Linked DNA regions of Arabidopsis thaliana. The protein of the gene in region 2 interacts with the protein of the main gene of each other region in a pairwise test. Each region holds a gene or a part of one and is shown on either strand. Other genes may lie near its edges.

Region 1 (4,215 bases), 5.6 Mb from region 2:
ATGTAAAGAGATGTCTATGAGGTAGACTTCTTTATTGAATTGTTATCGGTGAAATATAGAAGCATGTACGTGTGGTTGGAGTTTGGCTTTTGTTATGTTCTTTTTATTTCAGTGATTGGTCTATATTTAGTTTGTTTTTACTTTCATTTTTCATTAGAAACGTTTTCTAACACTAATTCATTATAAAATCGATTGGCTTCTAGGTTAATTAAACCACAAACATGGAATGCATGCTAATTGGGGAAATGTGAAGGTGATTAATCACTCAATTGATTTGTTTTGTATTACTACTCCTGTTTTTGAAAGAATTTTGGAATGGTGATTAATCAACTAAAGCATCTACAGAAAACATTATTGATGGTTAGAGATATGAAAATTTAAATTGATAGGCTAAACATACAAGCAAACTTTTACTTAATCTAATGTTGCTCTTGATTTGAAATATAAACAAAAACAAAATTAAGAAAAATGTTGACTTCTGAGTTCTGACCACTAAAATCATGCAACTGCTTGACAATGGACATGCCATCCATCTTATATCAATTTGTTGCTTACCTTGCCACCACATTTCTAGATTTTTATGTCATCTTGTTGACATTTATTAGTATATAAATTCCTACCATTCTTTCTGACCAACATATGCTAGAACCAAATTATTTGTTGTTAGATATCAATTTTCGCTAACGTGTTACTGTTTATAAAGTATTAAATCATGCCTATATATATTATTATGTTTCATACTCCTCCAAACATTTTGATAAGCTTGATTTTCTTTTTATATATAGTTCAATTTTTGTAATCTCATGTATACGCTATGGCAATGTGTACTGATGACGAAACATTATGTACCTATATGTATCATGTGGTAAGTAGAACATTGTTTGTTTGCTAGAATATGTATGTCGCTTATCGTTTTGAAAAAGACTCACCAGCATATATATAATATGCAACTGTGAAGCATAATATCAATGAGGAAACGTGAAGTGCACCAAGGGATAATCTAATTTGATACCTTTTATTTGAAGAATATATGACGTCCGATCCATTAATGCTTTATATGCATCTAGCCATCGACATGGATCTAGACCTTTCAATAATTGACGACTCCTCCGTTTTCTTTTTATAATATCAAAAATTGGGACATTGGTTATATTGGAAGAGTGGTGAAGGATTTATCCTATACATCAAACCTAGATATGAATCCCAACCAACTATGGACCGCTATTGTTCTCTCTTTGTTTTTTTTTTTTGCTATGAAACTATGGACCGCTATTGTTAGCTTTTTATTTAGTTATTGTAAACATCTTAAATGAAAAAAAAAAAGAAATACTCGGTTCACTATATGCATCATGTAATAATAATCTAGGTTTTGGCCCAAGATCTATCTAAGTTATAATTAAAACGAAAAAAAAAAACAAAAAAAAAAAATTGAAAAAGAAAATTGTTAGGTAGCTAAAACCCTCAGGTACTACAAGATTAACGAATACATCTACAGATTATTCATCTGGAACATGCAAATATGTGATGTATCGACTGATCTAAAATGGATTAGTTTGGTTGAAAGACGGTTTGGTTTAGTTAGGTTGGAAGGGTCTTTGGGAAGAGTGTTACATCGTTCACATCTTTTAATTTTGATTCAGTCTCTAAATTATACTATATAGTCTATATTGCAACTGAAGAATGATTGAAAGAGTACTAGTACTAAGGAAAAAAATAGAAGTAGATGCAAAAAAAAAATGGTAACATTAGTGTGAATCATGCATATAATGTTGAAAGCTTTAAAAAGACCCACAAGTCTTTGTACCCTTTCGTCCCCCTCCCCTCTAAAACCTCATCTTCCCCATTTATTTCTCCCATTCTTTCTCCTTTTCTTTTTCAGTTCTTAATTCATACTTGAAAAAATCAATACATTTTCATCATCATCAGCATCATCATTTCCCATATACACAAACACACATGCATGCCCTTATTATCTGATAATGAACGCATAGGTCTCTTCTCTGATAGCTCAATGGCGATTCAAGCTCAGCATCCTTCACGTTTCTTCTTCAACAACAGGTAAAAATCTTCATATAATCATATAGTAATAGTATACGCCCTGTGTATTTATTATGTATGTGATGTTTTCAATTTCTTATGAAAATTTATTGAACAGTAACGGACAAGAAGCTAGTGATTGTTCGTTGCAGCCTCAAGACACTCCTTTCACTAATTTCACCAAAGCTGGTCTCTCTTCTCATTATTCCCATATCGTTTCCAAATTTTTTCCTTCAATTCCATTCAATCATCACCGTTTTTGAAACAGGGGTTGATTCAAGAAAACGATCAAGAGAAGTTTATTCATCGGCTCTGATGAACCCTCCACCTCCAAAACCGTCGCAAGTTATTGATATAACCGAGTTGTTGCAGAAAACGCCTAACGTGGTTTCCACTGGTCTTCGATTATTTCATGATCAGTCACAGAATCAACAACAGTTTTTTTCTTCTCTTCCCGGAGATGTTACCGGAAAGATTAAACGGCAAAGAGATGAACTAGACAGATTCATTCAGACTCAGGTGTCTTATTAAACTCGACCTAAAATGTGGTTTGGTTTGTTTTTTCTTTGTGTTGATAATTTGATTTTGCAGGGTGAAGAGTTGCGGCGTACGTTAGCGGATAACAGAGAGAGACGCTACGTAGAGTTATTGTGCGCTGCGGAGGAGATAGTCGGACGGAAATTGAGAAAAAAAGAAGCGGAGTTGGAGAAAGCCACGCGCCGTCACGCTGAGCTAGAAGCGCGTGTAGCTCACATCGTGGAAGAGGCGCGAAACTGGCAGTTAAGAGCGGCGACGCGGGAAGCTGAGGTGTCCTCGTTACATGCTCATCTCCAACAAGCCATAGCTAACCGCCTAGATACGGCGGCGAAACAGAGTACGTTCGGAGAAGACGGCGGAGACGCGGAAGAAGCAGAGGACGCTGAATCGGTTTACGTGGATCCGGAGCGGATCGAATTGATCGGACCAAGTTGTAGGATTTGCCGGCGGAAATCTGCGACGGTGATGGCATTGCCGTGTCAACATTTGATTCTTTGTAATGGATGCGACGTCGGAGCAGTGCGAGTCTGTCCGATTTGCCTCGCCGTGAAGACTTCCGGTGTCGAAGTTTTATTTTGATGATGATGAGTATTTAATTGATAGGCCCGTTATAGGCCCATGGGTCCATCCAGATCTAAGCAACAAACAAGACAACAGTACAGAAAAAGGACGTTTTCTATAGGCAAAAATAAAGATTGAAAATGAGATTTGAATTATATATAGTTGATGATGTACATAGGACATAGCCACATGTAGTGGCATTTTTTTCGTTTTGACATCTTCGTTTACTTTCTTTCTTTTGGATATTCTTCGCTTTTTTTTTCAGAAAACGTTTTGAAGAAATTGCTAAAATTGAATTCATTTACGTTAGAAATCTTACTATATTATTTGGGAAGTACATTTTAAATGTAACCTTACTTTTTGTAAATAATTACATAGGTATACCATTAGAAATAAAATTTTAAAGAGTAAATTAATTTATCTGTTTAAGGATTAAAAAGTCAAATACTAATTTAATTAATTAAATTTAATTAAAAAACGAAATACATTTTTAATTTCCAAAAACAATAACCAATCAAAATCAACATATAAGATTTGATATCTAAATTTTAATTAATTTAATTTAATTAGAAAAACGAAATACATTATTAATTTCCAAAAAAATAAACAATTAAAATTAACAAATTAGATTTGATATCTAAATTATCATATTAATTTTTTATTAATTATTATAGTTCACTTCTCATCTTTATATGATTCTATTTTTGCGAAAAAATAATATCATCATTATAAAAAAATAATTAGAGTTTTTTCGCATATGCCATAATTTGAATTTTTAAAAACGAATATAAACTGTTCAATACATGAAAAATATTATAACGGGTGAAAATAGATTTAAGAAAACTTTCTACTGAGTTAACAGGTCATAATTTGAAATATTTATATTCAATTTTATACATATTATATTAAAAAATTATAATCTTATATACTACAATAATTAATAAGATATTAGATTTTTTATGTGTATGATGTGATTCAATTTTTAACAAGCTGGAAAATCGTAAAATTGACGGGTTTAGATCGATATTAATACAAGATGGTATACTACAGGTGAAAGTCTTAAATTAACAATCAAACTAC
Region 2 (4,622 bases):
GGAATGGTGTTATATACGAGGCTCCCTCTAAATTATTCCTCTATCTCTTTTTTCTTCCTTTTCTCATTTTTCTTTGTTCTTTTCGAAAAGAAAAAAAAAATGATTTATTTTATTGCCATTTTAATGTCGATGCGAAAATGCAAGATCGGGTCTGTGGCTGGATGGATTGCAGATTTGGATTTAATTTTTTTATCTCAATGGTTTGTTTGTGATGACAAAAAAAATAAGAAAGGAAAGGTGGGACCCAAAAACTGAGTTGTGTGGGGAAAGGGTATGTGAAAAATATGTAAAGATTCCCCAAATTAAAATTCTCTCGCAAAATTATAAATTTGGCATAATGCTGAAATTAAAAGAATAAATTTTTAAAAATAGGCAAAATTACTTTAGGGTTCGTCTTTTTCGTTTTGCTTTTTTTTCCCTTGTTAGGTAGAAAATCTTCCTATGCTCTCATCAATTATGATGTTCGTAGAGTATTGCAAAGGAACCAACAAAAAAAAACTGACGTGGCTCAATGGTTTTGCTAAGCTTGACCAATGAACAATTGACGACTGTGTACCGCCGTTAATAGGTAAAGGCAAGTTGCTACATTGTGGATGAGTAAAAAAGAGTTTCTGTCATTAATGATTATATATCTTACCTTATGTTTCTTTTATAGAAGAATCTCTAAATGCAGCAGATTTATGACTAAGAAATTTTTTAGAATTCAAGCCCCAGCTGTCCAGCCTTGAAGAGATATATACATGGGCCTTAAATCGGGCTAAGGTGGGCTGTCTAATTGTGAGAGAACATTATATCTTATACAACTTGGACCAAACAAGTGGCATACGGTATATGATATTGAGATAATGACACCCTTAGCAAGAAATATCAATTACCCACCTAAACAATAATAACATCCATTGCTATTAAACCCATTGTAATGATGATAATTGAGATAGCACAATATCAACTTATCAACTTAGAGAAAGTCACTTTCAACTTCTGATATCAAATTGGCATTAGTGATTTGTTTATACGCTGGACTAGAGATTATATCAATTTGTCAATGTCTTTGCCTGTCACACACACACACATATCAAAACTGTCGCTCTTACATCGGGAAACATCTGTGCAAGTTATTTTTTTGTGCGCCATATTCTCCGAGTTGTTTGAGATTACAGAATTGCTAATCAATAATACAACTCAACATATACTAGTCACAAATTCCATAATTTTCCAAGGTACAATTCATTGAGATCATTTGCGTAAACCCATCGTATGTTCATTTGTTTATGGTTTTATTGGGTCAACCATCTTATTTAATCTCATGTGATGTGTATCAAATGTCCAAATACTGAACTTTAAACGCCAAAGATAAAACTTAAATTCGATAATATTAAAGATAGAGAAGTACAGAGAATTGTAGTACAAACGGTTACATGGAAACCTTAAGATTCATCTAACCAGTAATTACATCTCTTTACTTTGACTTAACCTAGACGACACGGAAACAAACGAAGAACCTTAAGGAAAAACAGAAAGATACCCAAACGAAGAAGAAACCCCAAATAAAACTTAAACTTGATAAACTAAAAAGATAGAGAAATACAGAGAATTGAAAAACCGAAGAAGATTACATCAAAACCTAAGCTTCATCTTTACCCGTAAACACATCTCTATAACTTGTCTTACGACCAACTAATCCACTTAAGACACAGACGAAATGACAAAAGCCAACCTATGATTTACCCAGAGAACCTGACGATTAAGCAGAAATTAAAAACCCGAAGATACAGAGAAAGATACGAAAACTAGTAAAAAGTCTATACACAAATACTCCTACACAAACACTAAACCCTAAGAAGAGAAACTAAGACCTGTTAAGAAGATATTTCGATCTTGCCCCTTGAAAAAATAAGGGAAGATTCGAAACGGTTCATAACGAAGATGTGTGTTTCTTCATCTTCTAGATTCATCATCGTCTGGAGATTATATTTTGTTGCAGATCTCCGGTTTTCAGGCGGAATCGGACGATCGGTAATACGGAAATGTAACACTTTGGTAACCATTTGGATCATCGGAGATTTTTAAAAAATCAAAAATGATCGGTGACAGACACCGTCAGGCGATGTCTAGGCGAAGGATCCTGATGAGATCATTTGTTGCCTTCTTCGTGAAGAAAGCTGGAAGCGGGACATCGCTAGGAGGCGGCGAGGTCATGGTCACAGGACCGGCGTAAAACGGTGCTGATTTCGATTTGCGGCCAGATAAACGGATCTGACCCGGAATCAAACCCGGATCTGGTCCAATCCGACGAGTAGATCCCAGATCTGACATTTCCACAACCAGATCTGAAGTCTCCTTGGGGATTTCTTCGCCGCGCTTAAGGATTCTCACCTGGCTAACGGCAACGGTATTGCTAAGACTCTTCTTAAGGGTTCCCTTTGGAACGAAAGCAGAGACAGCCGCACGAGGAGGAGGAAGCGGCGGCGCTACAGGAGGAGAAGAAGATCTGGAGGATTGACTACGAGGAGGACTCCGGCGTGTACGGTTGTTGGAGACCGTCTTCTTCTGCCTGTTGGGACATGCGCTAGGATTACGATGTTGTTTCATGTGAGAGAATGGATCTTTCAAGCAATCCTGGGGATTTAGAACAGCGACGCCCATAGCTAATTGAGAAAGGCAGATTTGGTGGTTCAGAAACAGAAGAAGAAGAAGAAATTTGTTAAATTATCTCTCAGAAAAAATTCTCAACGGCTCGGAAATGGAAAGATAAATTAGAAAGATGGAAATGAATATAATGAGAAGGTGGAAGAAGGATAGTTTTATACACGATTAAATTTGCTTCAGCGTGTCCAAGAACAGCTTAAGACGGTTTCTTAACCGACTCTCGGCTTCTGGTTTGTGAACTACACGCGCTTAGTTGTCTCTTCCTTTTTTGTTTTTTGTTTAGCTTTTTTTTTTTTTTTTTTTTCCTTTAACTTTATAATTACTTTCCTTGATATGTTAATCAATGGATCAATACTATGGTTGTGAATAAGATATATGTCACATAAATTCTGTATTCTTTTCTTTTTTATTCTCATCACATATGTGTGTTATCATTCAATAAGAAGCTTTACATTTTTCATTTCCTATACCATTTCAAAAAATTAAAAGTATTCAAATATGTGATATTCTGTGTGATGTATGATTACAATCTCCAAATTCAAAAGTTCAAAGGTAATTTGTCAAAATTAAAGGCCAGAGATTAAAATTTAAACCTAATATCTTACATCTATAAGTACAATTGAAAGCATTAAATTACTTTATAAAAAATAGAAAAAAAGCTATGCATATTTTAAAGCATTAGATAACTTTATAAACATATATAATTTGAAGAGGACATATGGCTGCTGATCCCAAAACTCTACTTCTTACACTGAGGACTATTTCAATATTTTGAATAAGAAATGGTATATCACCCCCTACACAAAAATGAAGTCACATCAAAGGTTATTGTGCAGATGTTTGTAATTGTTGACAAACAAAATGATTAACACTAAATAATTAAGCCAAGTTGTCAATAATAATACGAAATAATTGAATTAAAAAAAGCTACTTTGCCGAACAGTATCCAAGCAACAAAATCCTCCATTACGCATTTGTCGCTTTCATGATCACATACGTTAAACATTAAAATAATACCCCATTAGGCATAATATATCTCGCCCTTTGGCTTTGAGTAAGCTTTACATTATTCCCATACATTGTACATCCATAATAATATGATATTGAAACGCTAATTTTAAATTTGTATTTATGTATATAAATCCAATCTTTATATCTAATTAACGAGAGGTAAAAGACTATTAAACATTGAGAAACCCAAAGATCCTAACGATTATGTCGATAAACATATTGATACGACCTTGCAAATATGTAACAGGTTCGTATAAGTGTTTCTAATGACAAAAGGAAATAGATATTCTTAAGGTGGAGTAGAATATATGTGTTGGGAATAGGTAAATGACAACAACTTTTGAAAGAAGTGGTCGACCACAATAATAATAATAATTTATTTAAATTTAGGTGTAATAATAAATGTGAAAGAGGCGCGTGAGAAAGAAGTGGTTTATAGGGTGAGAGAGGAGGAACCCACGACGATCCTTACCAAAACCTCAGCTACGCGTTTATGGGTCCCACTCTCTGTCTCATCTTTTTCTTCGCCCTTCCATTATTAACATATTCCTTACAAACAAACCCTTCGTGTTCCTTTCTATTTACTCTATTGCCACCCCCACTCGTCTATCTTCTTTGACCACGGATATTTCTCAAGTTTGTTTCACTTGTTCATCTTCTTTGTATTTTTTTTTCTCGCCAACTAGTATTAAATTACTAATAATAAGAATCACTAAAGCTATTTGGTCAATTAAAAATAAATTGATGCTTTTGATGCCCTTTCTGTGTATTTTGGGCATAAACTAATTAAAATTATATTCATATATCTAGTGATTAGTGCAAAAAACGTAATACTAATATAAATATTGTAAAATTATGAATTTAAGGAGGGCATTTGTGTTATTTTTCAATAATATGTAGTGTATTCATAAATGAAACCAACAAAGAAAAATGGGACAAAAAAAAACGCCTAGTTATTGGTT

Evidence for each region.
Region 1: the proteins of AT4G32020 (region 2) and AT4G17680 interact in a two-hybrid assay, tested with the Arabidopsis thaliana proteins (one large-scale study listed by BioGRID).

Annotation. Positions count from the first base shown.
Region 1 is NC_003075.7:9,841,841-9,846,055, reverse strand, and holds AT4G17680 (SBP (S-ribonuclease binding protein) family protein), read left to right. Parts: upstream 1-1,721; 5' UTR 1,722-1,960; coding exon 1,961-2,058; intron 2,059-2,155; coding exon 2,156-2,226; exon of another isoform or gene 2,227-2,305; coding exon 2,306-2,556; exon of another isoform or gene 2,557-2,580; coding exon of another isoform or gene 2,581-2,628; coding exon 2,629-3,153; 3' UTR 3,154-3,446; downstream 3,447-4,215.
Region 2 is NC_003075.7:15,486,100-15,490,721, reverse strand, and holds AT4G32020 (serine/arginine repetitive matrix-like protein), read right to left. Parts: upstream 2,809-4,622; 5' UTR 2,647-2,808; coding exon 2,101-2,646; 3' UTR 674-2,100; downstream 1-673.